Linked DNA regions of Arabidopsis thaliana. The protein of the gene in region 1 interacts with the protein of each later gene in a pairwise test. Each region holds a gene or a part of one and is shown on either strand. Other genes may lie near its edges.

Region 1 (7,617 bases):
TGCTTGTCCCTCTTGCCTTCATTTATTGGCACTCTCTTAATTATAAGACTCAAAACAGTCCTTTTTTTGTTTTCAACAAAAACTCAAAACAGTCTATTAAGCAATGAAATTTCCATATTTTTGTAATGTAGGCTGTAAATTGACAAATAAACAGTACTGCTTCAAAAAGAAAATAAGAACATGGCTTCCCATAATTAGGGCTTTGGAAATGTTATTAACGGATATATAAATGTCCTTAGATCGAGAACCCCTTAATTAATAATTAACAGTAACACAGACTACTTTTTTCTATGGACTGCAGAATTTTATGGTCAAACCCACCCAAATTAAAAGCTAATTATATGTAAAATTCTATTGCACATATATTTTATTAGGATATTTCTAGCATTTATGGACCACAAGAAAATAATTATAGTTGTTTTTTTTTTGGTTAAACAAAAAATTGATTATAGTTATGATATGGAAAAGATGGAAGAAGTCATTTAATAAGTTTATCTAACAATCTATGATTAGGTTATCGCAGTAATGAATTTTCTTTCTTAGCAGAAATGAATAATTTAGTCACACTAACTACATAGCTTTAATTTCTGTTGATACAATTGAAGACAAGAAGACATAAACGTTGAAACAGTGTATTTGGTACTGTGTATGTGTTTGATTAGCACGAAACATGGTTAAAAACATCACATGGTTAAAACAAATCCGTCACCATCTGTTTTTTTTTTTTTTTTTACAACATACTTGTTTTCCATTCGTCATATCCGAAAGAGAATAAATTTGCAAGCTCTTCAAATTCATGGTTCGGTATTATAATCTTAAAAAAAATATATAAACTTACAATATAAATAGAACGATAGGTTTGATAAACAATAAAAATAGATGATAGGGGGCCATAAATAAAAACTCGAAAACAAAAGTTAAATAGCAAAATGCAACAAGCAAGCTCATGATGTGTCGAATACACTTCTGCAAACAATTTGGGGGAGATTAAAAATAGTCACTATAAAAAAAATCTTATGACGTTGAGAATCCGTCTTTTGCCTCAAAAATTACCAACACGAACCACATTGAAGCAGCAAGGAACATTGGACGGTTTCTTTCCAGAGGCAGAAACTAAATAGTATATCTCAATAAGAAATTTAACATACGACCAAAATTAATTGCTTTATAAAAATAATTAAAATATTAATGATAACCTTTTCCGTGGTTAATTTTCGGCCATTATGATAAAATAATTGATCCAATCATATGTTTACACAACATACTTAAAATTCCTTATATACTCTCTTGATTACTTTCTTACCAGTTACATAAACTCAATATGCAACAACTAGATTACTTTAATCTAAACGTTCTGATATACGGCCTTATGTCGATGTTAAGTTATATATATCACGTTCACAATGTATATAAATAATTCAAATAATTTTCCAAAAGTAATGGCGTCTAAATATAGTTGAGTTGAATAGTATAGACTCTCCTCATGGATTTGAATTTCCTCTGTGATTCGTTTGAAAAAAAACAATGTTTTGGAGTGCTATACTAGTTGATACACCCAACCAAATCGGAATTTTATAAAAAATTTGGACAAAATTACCAGAAAATAAAATTATTGCAATTTACGTGATATATACCCTAAAGTGTTATGTTTCCTTAAATCGTGTAACGAAACCATAAGTTTCTTATCATGCGGATGTCTGTAGCTCTCGACATATATAGTACCGAACGGGTCCAACGAGTAAATGAATATAACATCAAACGTCAATTTTTCTGTCACATGCCTCGTCTATGCATGCATGATAGTGTACATATATAATAGTTTCCTTTCTGTCTTTTACACTATTCTTAATCCACTTTTCTGTTTTGCATGGGTAGATATTTTGTTTTGGTTTCATAAAATAAATAGAAACCAATATCATTTAGTTTGGTTCGATTTTTCTTCGGATTCTAAATTTTTTTTATTTTATTTTAACTAAACTATATGTTTTATTTATTTTTAGTCATGATTTATTTTATATATCAAAAATATGTAACCGAATTTATTACATCTAGTTTTTTCCAATCACTTTCTTTGGTACAGTTTCGGTTTGACTCAAATTAGTTTAAACCAATTTGGACCACCCTAATTTATACATTTTTTTTTTCAAAGACCCTAGTTCTCTTAATACATTCACCGCACAACTTTTTATAACTATAAATAAGGCCACAAGCATTCACACACATTACACTTTTCTCTCCCAAAGAAACAAAAAAAAAAACTCTTAAGCTAGAACAAGTTTAAAACTCTTCGCTCAGTTTTCGATCTATCTAACAAAAGCATACATGACTACGCCGGAGGGGGCGATGTATGTGGCGTGGGAGGATCTTACGGTGGTGATACCAAACTTCGGTGAAGGAGCAACTAAGAGATTACTGAATGGAGTGAATGGTTGTGGTGAGCCAAATAGGATCTTAGCTATTATGGGTCCTTCAGGTTCAGGCAAATCTACGCTTCTTGATGCTTTAGCAGGTCCCTTCTCTCTCTCTCAGACACACACACCCATACATGTCAAGATTAGCTCGTCGTTTTTATTATGTATTTCTTTTATTGTTAAATGGTTTTCCTCTATTATATAAATCTCAAATAAGCTGAAGCAACATCGACCAACAATTAAAAGATATAGTTTTTAGAGGAATTTAACAACCAACCACATTTAGCTTTGAAACCAACATTAAAGGATGAGACTTACCCACTTTGAACCTAGTATTTAGTGAATCGTTCTATGTACTCTATATATATATATATATAACTATAATTAACAATATACATGACGTTATGTCTTTCTTTTAAAAAATTGTCCAAGGAAACTTTCTCAATATACTATGTAAAAAGTGTTTCACTTTTGGAAAATAAGAAATTTCTGTTTTCTTACATTAAAAAATATTCACAAATCTTTTAGTAATTTTTATTTGGAATTGATAAGGATTTCTGCCATTCGTAGTTAAATTTGAGAATATAAGTTAGAATTTATTTGTTAGATATATATATATATATATATATATAGGTGTATGTCTGTGCGTGGGTGGGTGTGTGTCCTATTCAACATAAAATATTTAATTATTATTAACCTGTAAATTCGTATGTAATCAAAATTAACTAATATGATACTTGATTAGTTTTTTGTATATTGGAAAAATACATTACTACAATAAAATTGATAACTTTCCTATTTGAAAGCAACAAACTATGTACATACTGTATCAGTATCACAATTTGGTGAAATGAAAATATTAACTGAAGTTTTTGTACTCTTCTGTAATTTTTTTTTTTTTTCTTCTGTAACTTTGACCAAACGTAACATATATATATGTAAAAGAAATTTGAGAGCATGATATAACATATTTATGTATCAAGATATTTATAACTATTGAAAAACAGTGCTATATTTATATCTAAGTTTCATGTACACGATGAGACATATATAGATATTTCTAACTTTATATTTATGGATTCTAGCTACCAATTTTATTTTTTAAGTATAGCTATATACTATCGGAGTACTAAATAAATATTAAAAAAAAAATAGTTGCAATTTTCATGTTCTTAATTAATAAATTTACATCGTCGTACATTTAGTATTGAATAAATTGATAGTTACGTTTCTCTAACGTAGACTATGTACAGAAATTTTGCAGTAACATTTCTTATTAAATCATATTTTAAATGTTAACCAACTACCAATCACCAATATTCTGACACAAATATTTAGGATTGCACGATCGTATCTTCATACCGACTTGCGATCTCTTCACAAGTTGAACCCGGTTTGGTGACTGGTCGGACTCTTTGAGGGATGTTACGTTCAATCCAAAAACAATCCAAATCGATTATTATTTTCTTGACCAAACCTAAATTTGATTGGATTAAGAAGATCTTTATTTTATGCTTATGACTAATCGAAACCAATTTAATTTTACTGTGGCTAATATTCTTGTAAAAGCGAAAAACCCAAAACCGGGTTATAAGATTGTTCTATCAATGCTATAAGATTGTTCAAAAACATGAAAGATTTAACATCTAACATTAAAAGGTAAATTTGGTGATGGTACAGGAAGATTAGCAGGGAATGTTGTAATGAGTGGCAAAGTACTTGTCAATGGCAAGAAGAGAAGACTTGACTTTGGTGCTGCCGTAAGAAAATTTATCTTTTCTCTTTAGTTTTTACCCTTTTACACAATCAAACTATTATTATTCATGAATGTCCTAAACTCTCAGGCTTATGTGACGCAAGAAGATGTGTTGCTAGGAACTTTGACAGTGAGAGAATCCATATCTTACTCGGCTCATCTCAGGCTCCCTTCAAAGCTTACCAGAGAAGAGATCAGTGACATTGTGGAAGCTACAATCACTGACATGGGTCTTGAAGAATGTTCAGACAGGACCATTGGAAACTGGCATTTGCGTGGAATAAGCGGAGGAGAGAAGAAACGGCTTAGTATTGCCCTCGAGGTCTTAACAAAACCAAGTCTCCTCTTTCTAGACGAACCAACTAGTGGACTGGACAGTGCTTCAGCTTTCTTCGTGGTTCAGATTCTTAGAAACATAGCAAGCAGTGGCAAAACTGTGGTTTCTTCGATCCATCAGCCGAGTGGTGAGGTTTTCGCCCTCTTTGATGACCTGCTACTTCTGTCTGGAGGAGAAACTGTTTACTTTGGCGAAGCAGAATCTGCAACAAAGGTAATAAGATAGAGCATTGGCAAGAGTATATAACCATTATGCTCATTTGTGTTGTTGTTGCTTCGACATTGCAGTTCTTTGGTGAAGCAGGTTTTCCTTGTCCAAGTAGACGGAATCCATCAGACCACTTCCTTCGCTGTGTCAATTCCGATTTCGATAATGTCACAGCGGCTTTGGTTGAATCTCGGAGAATCAACGTTTGTTTTCCTCTGCCCTTCTTGTTTTTTCATGAACTTACAATACTCTCAAGCTTTTGACCTCGACCTTTTACATCTGCAGGATTCATCTTTCTCTCTTCACCAACTACATGAAACTACAAACACATTAGATCCTCTGGATGATATACCAACTGCAGAAATTAGAACAACACTTGTCAGAAAATTTAAGTGTTCACTTTATGCAGCAGCTTCAAGAGCAAGAATTCAAGAAATAGCATCGATAGTAAGTTACGGTTACTACTTCCCTTAAAACTACAATGTATCACATAATGAGAGTCTCATAAGCACAGTTATAAACCTTGTGCAACAGGTGGGGATTGTCACAGAAAGGAAAAAGGGGAGCCAAACTAATTGGTGGAAACAACTCAGAATACTTACTCAGCGATCTTTCATCAACATGAGTAGAGACTTGGGGTACTACTGGATGCGGATTGCAGTCTACATAGTGTTATCCATTTGTGTCGGGTCAATCTTCTTCAACGTCGGGAGAAACCACACAAATGTTATGAGTACTGCAGCTTGTGGCGGATTTATGGCAGGCTTTATGACATTCATGTCAATAGGAGGATTCCAATCCTTCATTGAAGAAATGAAGGTAAAGAGCTAAACAGAGAAAAATTCTCTTTCTTCACCTAAAAACTTATCTTATGTTTTAGCATCTTTATTCCTGAAAACAGGTGTTTTCTCGCGAAAGGCTCAATGGACACTATGGGGTTGCAGTATACACTGTGTCTAATTTACTCTCCTCATTACCTTTCATAATCCTTATGTGCCTCTCCACCAGCTCAATCACTATCTACATGGTGAGGTTCCAATCCGGAGGTTCTCATTTCTTCTACAACTGTCTCGACCTTATCTGCGCGATTACAACTGTGGAGAGTTGCATGATGATGATAGCTTCAGTAGTCCCTAACTTCTTGATGGGAGTCATGTTGGGAGCTGGTTACATTGTAAGAGTGGCCTCTGTCGCTCTTTCACCTACAAGCTTTCTTATATCTCCAAAAACTATTCTAAATTGAAAACCGCTTTATCCTTCATCTCATAGGGAATTATGGTGTTAAGTGCGGGGTTTTTCCGATTCTTCCCCGACTTACCAATGGTGTTCTGGCGATACCCGGTGTCCTACATAAACTATGGTGCATGGGCACTACAGGTAACCAGGTTTTCTCAACTTTAAGATGCAGACTATATCGTCAAGTAGCTATCTTAAATGAGCATACCTGATAAATTGCAGGGAGCATACAAGAATGAGATGATTGGGGTGGAGTATGATTCTCCGTTACCCTTGGTACCAAAAATGAAAGGAGAACTCATTCTTCAAACTGTTCTAGGCATAAATCCAGAAAGTTCAAAGTGGTTGGATCTAGCAGTTGTGATGATGATTCTCATTGGGTATAGGATTGCCTTCTTCGCCATCCTCAAGTTCCGGGAAAAGGTTTTCCCAGTTATTCACATGTTATACACAAAGAGAACTCTGAGCCATATCCAGAAAAGGCCTTCTTTCAGAAGAATGACACCTTTCCCTTCCAGGCGATACCCTGTTCACCATGCTCTCTCTTCTCAGGAAGGACTTAACTCTCCACTGCATTAGAAGCATATACAGCAGGATGCAATTTCCATATATTTCAATATGTCAGATGTCACTCTCTTCAAACTTGATAAACTGTTTGTAGCCCGTTGTGTAAGGAAAAAAAAAAGAAAAGAGAGATACTATCATTCTGACTAATGAGATTTGTTTAGCATGAGGATGGTATCTATCAGAGATACATATATTGGAGAAAAAAGATAAGCATGGCTACATTATCAGATTACAAGTGATGCATGCATGAACCCCTAAGAGAGAGTCTACCAACGAACCACCGTAAATATATCAAATAAGGCACTTCGTTTGCTAACATAGCTTCAGAAGAAACTGTGTTATGGAAATCAAATAAACAGAAGATGGTATGGAGATTTGTTACCTGGCTGGCAGTAGAACACTGGTCCTTGCTTGATAGCACCAGTGACGCAAATCTATAATCTGTGCAGCACAAGAACAGAACAGACCAGGCATATTTGACTTTTATCACTAAGTGCCATGAAATCTCCTCTTTTAGCATATAGTTGATAGGGAATAGAATCAAAACTAACAAAAGTAACCTCCCAAAGGCGTTTGTTGAACAGATAGAGAACAAACAACGAGATACTTAAAACCTTAAAAGTGTAAAACCAAGCAAAAATGGTAAATTTTCAACTTTGGGAACCCAAATATAAGCTCCCAGAAATATTACATAGTAAGGAAAAAAAATACACAAACAATCAATAACTTTAAACAAATATGGCTAATCCAGTTGTAAAATCAGAAAAAACCAGTCTGATTATTTTAGAGTAGACATGTACAGAACTCATTTGTTGTTCATTTGCTACCCTATGACTGTTACAACTAAACTCATCCAAATCTGAACCAAGAACTAGTTTGGGAAAACTGTGTTAAAATGTCAAGAATACGCCTGCTGGTTCTGCCTAACTCTTCATATCCTCAGAACCATTAGTTTCAAGTCTACCATTAAATCCATGATATGGAACCTCCCACATCGGCCTCGGGGTAGCACGCCCACCAAAATCCTCAGGGAAAAACTCAAAACTGGGGCCAAAATTGAACTTCACAAGACAATTTGACTGGTCGGGAAGAGTGTACATCGA
Region 2 (6,203 bases), 670 kb from region 1:
CAAAAACTTTGATATCAATATCATCTAACCAAACTGCCATTACCGTTTTCTTTTCAAGAACTTTGAAATCATTTTGATGTTTTGGCTAAACCTCAGGCTTATACCTTGGAACTGGAAGCTGAGATTGAAAGTCTCAAGCTAGTGAATCAAGATTTGCAGAAGAAACAGGTTTTTTTCTTCTACCATTTTTATTGCTTCTCCATAGAGAGTCTAGCTGGCTCAGTTATTTAACTGCGGTCTCTCTATGTTGCAGGCTGAAATAATGAAAACCCATAATAGTGAGGTAATAACGTTTTTCCTCTACTTATGTATATTTCATGTATACACCATCATTGTCTCTACATTACCAGACATTTTGTGTCTGTCTAAATGTAGCTCTATTGTCATTTTGATGACACACAGTTCACTGATACTAGTACTTGAATTTGCAGCTAAAGGAATTTTCGAAGCAGCCTCCATTGCTGGCCAAAAGACAATGCTTGAGAAGAACCCTTACCGGTCCGTGGTAAGAAGGTGAAGTCAAAGCAAGAAGAACCTGCTAATGTAATACAGGACCACTCAAAAGGAAGACACTGGGAGAGTAATATGTAATAGAAGATAGTGCTACTGTACAGGAGAAATTACAGAGACGCTTACAATGTAGAAATCTTTTGAGCTGAATTTAACTAAGAGTGCAGTCTGTGTAGAGTATGAGAGCTTTCAATATGAATTCATAATTTTCATAAACATATGTAAAACTTTCAGATTTAGCTATAGAGAAGATGTGACTAACTCAGAAAGAAAATCCGTTAATTGGAGAGTGAGGTAAACTCCGGCTGTAATGTGACCTGGAAGTAGTACTAGACGATGGACCAAAGATCCGGGAATCACCTCTTTGAATTCTCAAATTGCTTCTCTTCCTACTATCCCAGCCTATCTCTTCTTCAACCGCTTTAGCAAATGCGCTATGCACCGGATCACAGCTTTCACACAACAGCCTCAAGACTTGCTTAATTGATGGCCTAGACCGGCCTTCTTTCTCGGTACACAATCTCACAACCGTCACAACTGCATCAAGTTGTTTTCCTCCAGCATCATTAATAGAGTCTTTGATTCTCGGGTCTACCAACTCGAGGTGTTTTGATTTCGCCAACAAAAACCGCTGAGACATTTCCACAAGGTTCCTACCTTCATCAACTGCTCTTCTCCCGGTTATGAGCTCCAGCAACACAACTCCGTAGCTGTACACATCACTCTTCTCTGTCAACTCTTGCGTTACTACATATTCCGGATCTACATAACCTGAAAAAACTTCAAGTTTTTAAAACTCAGCTTCCATCAAAAGTAGTCAAGTTATTCTGTTCAGTATCTCTCCCAAACCTGGAGTTCCACGGATATCGGTATTCACAGGCTCAAAGCAAACAGAGCCATCTCTAGACGAATGTGCAAGGCCAAAATCTGAAAGCTGCACCAAGAAAACATTATTAGTTATCCAAATACCAAAGGGTTCTCTAACACAGAAGATGTGCAGTACTACATACCTTAGCGACGAAGTTCTCATCGAGTAATATATTGCTTGATTTAATATCTCTATGACAGAGAGGAGGATCACAGTAGAAATGAAGATATTCCTGGAGGAGAGAACAACGTGCAGCCAAGAACCAAAAACTGTAAAAGATATATTATCAAATCAGTTTACAGAGAAAATGTAGATGAAAGACTTTGGAATATTTACCAAAGCATTTGCCACATCAATTGCAATTTTCATTCTTGTTCCCCAACTAGGTGGAGGCTTTCCAATGGCTGCAAAGGAAAAAATTGAAACAAGAAAAGTATTCAACACTCAGGACTCGTACACTTATGGTAGAAGAAGCATATACATACCATGTAAGTGATCTTTTAAGCTGCCATTTTTCATATAGTCGTAGACCAAGAACCTGAATGATTGAAACAATATAAAATGAGAACACTTATGGTTTAGATAAATGCAGAAGGCGAAAAAGCAATGTATGGTTCTTCACCTTTCTTTCTTGTTGATGCAAAAGCCTTTCAAAGCAACGAGGTTACGGTGATGCAGCTTAGCTAAAAGCCCTATCTCTCTACAAAAATCTTGTTCAGCTTGTTCAGAGACTTTGTTCATCTTTTTTACCGCTGCAATCAGACCATCGTTGAACTCGGCTTTGTAAACAGTACCAAAACCTCCCTGACCGATAACCGTGTTGAAATCATTTGTTGCATTTGTCATTTCCTTGTAGCTGAACTTTCTGAAAGCTGAGGAAGAATCATCTGCAGAAAAAAGCGTTTTCAAGTCATTTCTTAGGTATCTTATATTATAAAACAAAGAACTCAACTCTCTATTTTCACACCTTCATGAATCTTGAATACAGGAAGGGAAGAAGGAACTGATTTTGTTGACTTTCTATCCAAGCTCTCAGATTCATCCAGTTCCCGGTTCTTTCTACGGATAAGAATTACCAAGACTACAAGCATCGTAAGAGCAACAGCTGTAACAACAATCCCAATGGTTGGAACCATTGTTAAGTGATATGGATTGGTGCTTCTACTTGTAGTCATTTGAGAATCACTGTTGCTTGGGCTAATACCACCAACCGTGCTTGGAGAAGGTTCTGGACTTGCCACTGGTGAAAATGACTCTGTCGATACACAATGAGTTACTAAAGAAACTGATGAGATACTAAGAAAATTGCAGTCATGAGTCTAACCTGAAGGAATGTTAAGCTCTGTCACTTGAAAGAAACAACTAAGGAGTTCAAGAGCTGATGTATCGTCTATTCGGCTTGCTAATGTAGCATAAGTCGCATCACGACAAGTACACAGAGTAATGTTATTAGTCTCTGCACCTATGAGATTACGAAGGTAAGTGATGCCAGAGTTCAAACACTTTCTGCATTGGTGTCCCGGCGAAAATGGGAGTCTGCAGTTTCTTGAAACATGTCCAAATCCCGGAGACTGATGCATTTGTGTAACAGTGGTTCGACCGTCACAGTCATACTTAACAAGGATCTTGGTTCCCAAACCGCAGAAACTAGTGGCGTTTCTCGAGACTCCGTAGCCCTCCATGGCTCTAGAGATGGAAGCAATGCAGGTTTCAGATAAATCTGATGTGACTCCAAGATTAGTTGACAAGTTCGCGTAACGAGCCACGGACACCGCAACAAAAGCGTTCATGTAGCGGCAACATTTGCCTCTGTTGGTTATGTTGGAGCACACAGTAGCTACTAGAGTGAAATTTGATCCACTGAAATCTAATGGACAATCTGCAAACACACATGACAATGCAGCATTAGTGTCTGGTAACCTATAAAGATTGGTCCGCAAGTTTCAAGCTTTTAACTTTCTAACCACAATAGCTTGAAAAGAACAAACAAAGTTTGAATTTTTATGGTTTCTCAAGATCTGATTTCAATTTAAAAAGAGAGTATTTTTGCATGTAAGCAACTAATGAACCAAAATTATGCGAATTTCCATCGAAACTCAAATCTAGTCAAAGAAAGCAACAAAATTTGCAAAATCCAGAAGCTCAAAATCCAACATTCATAATCTTATCCTGATTTAGGCAAGAACAGGATTAAATAATGAAGCTTTAAAAGAGAAAGAAACAGAGGAAAATCGATAAAGAGAAACCTGCAGCCATTAGTGAAGGCAATTGGGTAGCAAGTAATGCAATTAATGCCAACAAGAAAGCTTGACTATTCACAACCATGGCCAAGAGCAACCAGAGAGAGAAAGAGAGAAGAGAGAACGAGATTATAAAAAAGGAGTTTAACGGAAGGTCCCTGTGTGAATATGACATGCGAGGCTCTGTGTATTGTTTTGTATACTCACTGACAAGTGACAAGGAAAGAGACAAATTTTAGACTTGTCAACTATTCAATTCGTGATCATAAACGAAGACAATTGTAGAAAAGCCCCTAACTTTCTCATTTCATCTCCTTTCTAACCTACAAGTTTCTTTTATGCATAACATACCAACACTAAACTTGTGAATGTTGAAGGAAACATAAAAAAATTTGATATTCAGAAATTTGTATTAGATTAGTTTCTTTCCTGTGAAATGATTTGGACCAACACAACAAAAATACATGATTAGTAGTAGGATTAAAACTGAAAACAAATTAAAATGGAGGTCGCATGTTTGTATCATGATGTCTCATGCCATTTCGTTAATTATTAACTTTTGTTTGTTTTTATTCGTTTTTTTAAGATTATAAAAACACACAACCGTTGTATGATTGTAATTTGTAACAACAATTGTTAATTCATAATTAGTTTCTAAGCAAATATTCTACTTTGTGATAAAACGAATAATTATACCTTTGTCTTTATCTTGGAGAAGAAGAAAGGTATATATTGCTTGTTAAAAAATAAACAAACAAGCATTTATGAAGTGTTTGGTGAAGCGAAAGCGACATAAGGATAAAATGGCTCGAGTGCTTTGGGATTGATCCTAAATCATCCCAGTTTTAGTTTTGGATATAAATTCTAGACCGAATTCAAAAACGAGAAAATGAGATGGAAGTAGCAATGTGAACCCAAATGGAAATGGTCTACATAACGTTGGTAGGGTCACTCACATGTGCAACACCCTGTCATATCTCAGACCCCTCAACTGCAATATTTTTGTAAAGGTTTAGATTTATTGTATGCAATTTTTTCCTACAACATTCCAGTAATGCCATGCCATATACAAAACGTTTATATGGTCGGTCTTATGTAGGCAGGGTCGGCCCGAACCTTTTTTCTGTATGTAGGGGTTGGATACGGAATAGATATCTTATAAAAAGCAATATTTGTGATCCGTTTTGTAATTAAGGAATGACTAATAATTAGGTAATTGTTACTAATCTTAAGCTGGTTCTAGATGAATGATTGTGTAGATTGTATGATAGTCGAAAAGGTTACACAAGTTATTGAGTTTGCAAATTCATAAAAGGCAAAAGAATCAAATAAGAAGGGATGTAAAAAATGTTTCACGAGTGGTTACAAATGTGAGTGTGAATTAGAGCTGACGATTTGGGTCCCTACCTACCCAATAAAAACAAGATTTTGAAAAAGAAAAACTTCTTGAAATTCTCGTCCTTGTGCCAATTTTCCATGATTTGTAATTTATAACTTCGAGTTGGTTCAGACCTATCCCAGACCCAAACTATGTGTGAACTGGTTTAAGGATATTGTTGGCAAAGTGGGCTATGATTGGGCCGGCTGAATGGATCATCAATGGTTTGTAGAAGGAATGTGAAACTAGTTAAATGGAAAAATTGACGTGAGAAGCTATGTTAGGAAAGAAGGTATGCAATTGCGTGCAAACTTTTCTAAGTGTTTGGGCTATTGCTATCATGCCATATTTGCCTTAACATCGTCTAAGCTTCAAAGCCGTTTCATCTTTCTGTATTAGTAAAATGAAAGAAAAATAAAATTCTGTATATTTGTTTAAGTCTTTTTTTTTTCTTATGTAAAAAACAATTACAAGATAACTCACATTTTATTATTGTTGTTGATATGTCTTTCCCTTATAATTGTTGTTGTGTAAGAAAGTTCCAGGCAGAAAAAGGTCTTAGCATTAAAACCAAAAAAAATAAGAGTTTTGAAAAAGAGACCATGAAAAACAAAAGTGGCGACCAAAACAACAACAAACCCACTAATTTTGCAGCATTTATTATCATCATGTCTTCACCGACTCACGCGCACTTCCGTTCACTCTATTTTTATCCTTAAAATCCTCTCATTGTATTTACTTTATTTTATTTGTTTCTTAGAATCTTTTTCACGCAAATGCAAACCACCAACAAATCTATATTCTAGCATGATGATGAAGTAGCTACTTGCTTCTTCTTCTTCTTCTTCTTAAATTTTGGGGTTTTTACTTTTTGGTGAAGACAGCCATGTTTCAAAGATTATTACTCTTCCTTCTCATTGCTCTTCTGCTCCAATCTTCTTTCCTTTTAGAGATTTCCTCTGCTCTCAAGGTAACCAAATCTCATCAAATCTTACAACATTTACATTTGTGTCTGTCCTCTGTTCCGACCAAAAGACAGAGGATCTTTATTAGTTTTGCAGAAACATACAATTAATCATCGAGTACTATAGAAATTGGTAGTCTAAAAATCTTGTTTTAATCAAGATCCTCTGTTTCTTGGGAAATTTAAAATATCCTATCTTTCCTTATTATTTGGTTTTGGATCGTAGGAAGGAAAAACATGTAT

What was found.
Region 2: the proteins of ABCG13 (region 1) and AT1G49730 interact in a protein complementation assay, tested with the Arabidopsis thaliana proteins (one large-scale study listed by BioGRID).

What each region holds. Positions count from the first base shown.
Region 1 is NC_003070.9:19,076,041-19,083,657, reverse strand, and holds ABCG13 (ABC-2 type transporter family protein), read left to right. Parts: upstream 1-2,206; 5' UTR 2,207-2,322; coding exon 2,323-2,509; intron 2,510-4,091; coding exon 4,092-4,171; intron 4,172-4,255; coding exon 4,256-4,717; intron 4,718-4,791; coding exon 4,792-4,914; intron 4,915-4,996; coding exon 4,997-5,158; intron 5,159-5,245; coding exon 5,246-5,530; intron 5,531-5,612; coding exon 5,613-5,885; intron 5,886-5,980; coding exon 5,981-6,088; intron 6,089-6,169; coding exon 6,170-6,526; 3' UTR 6,527-6,820; downstream 6,821-7,617. Other genes in the region: TRO (TRAUCO), read right to left, coding at 7,438-7,617.
Region 2 is NC_003070.9:18,401,846-18,408,048, forward strand, and holds AT1G49730 (Protein kinase superfamily protein), read right to left. Parts: upstream 3,837-6,203; 5' UTR 3,794-3,836; coding exon 3,625-3,793; exon of another isoform or gene 3,258-3,624; coding exon 2,703-3,257; intron 2,634-2,702; coding exon 2,346-2,633; intron 2,266-2,345; coding exon 2,001-2,265; intron 1,917-2,000; coding exon 1,864-1,916; intron 1,783-1,863; coding exon 1,715-1,782; coding exon of another isoform or gene 1,670-1,714; exon of another isoform or gene 1,648-1,669; coding exon of another isoform or gene 1,611-1,647; coding exon 1,521-1,610; intron 1,445-1,520; coding exon 1,360-1,444; intron 1,282-1,359; coding exon 773-1,281; 3' UTR 661-772; downstream 1-660. Other genes in the region: ABF1 (abscisic acid responsive element-binding factor 1), read left to right, coding at 97-168, 254-308, 432-517; AT1G49740 (PLC-like phosphodiesterases superfamily protein), read left to right, coding at 5,883-5,966, 6,187-6,203.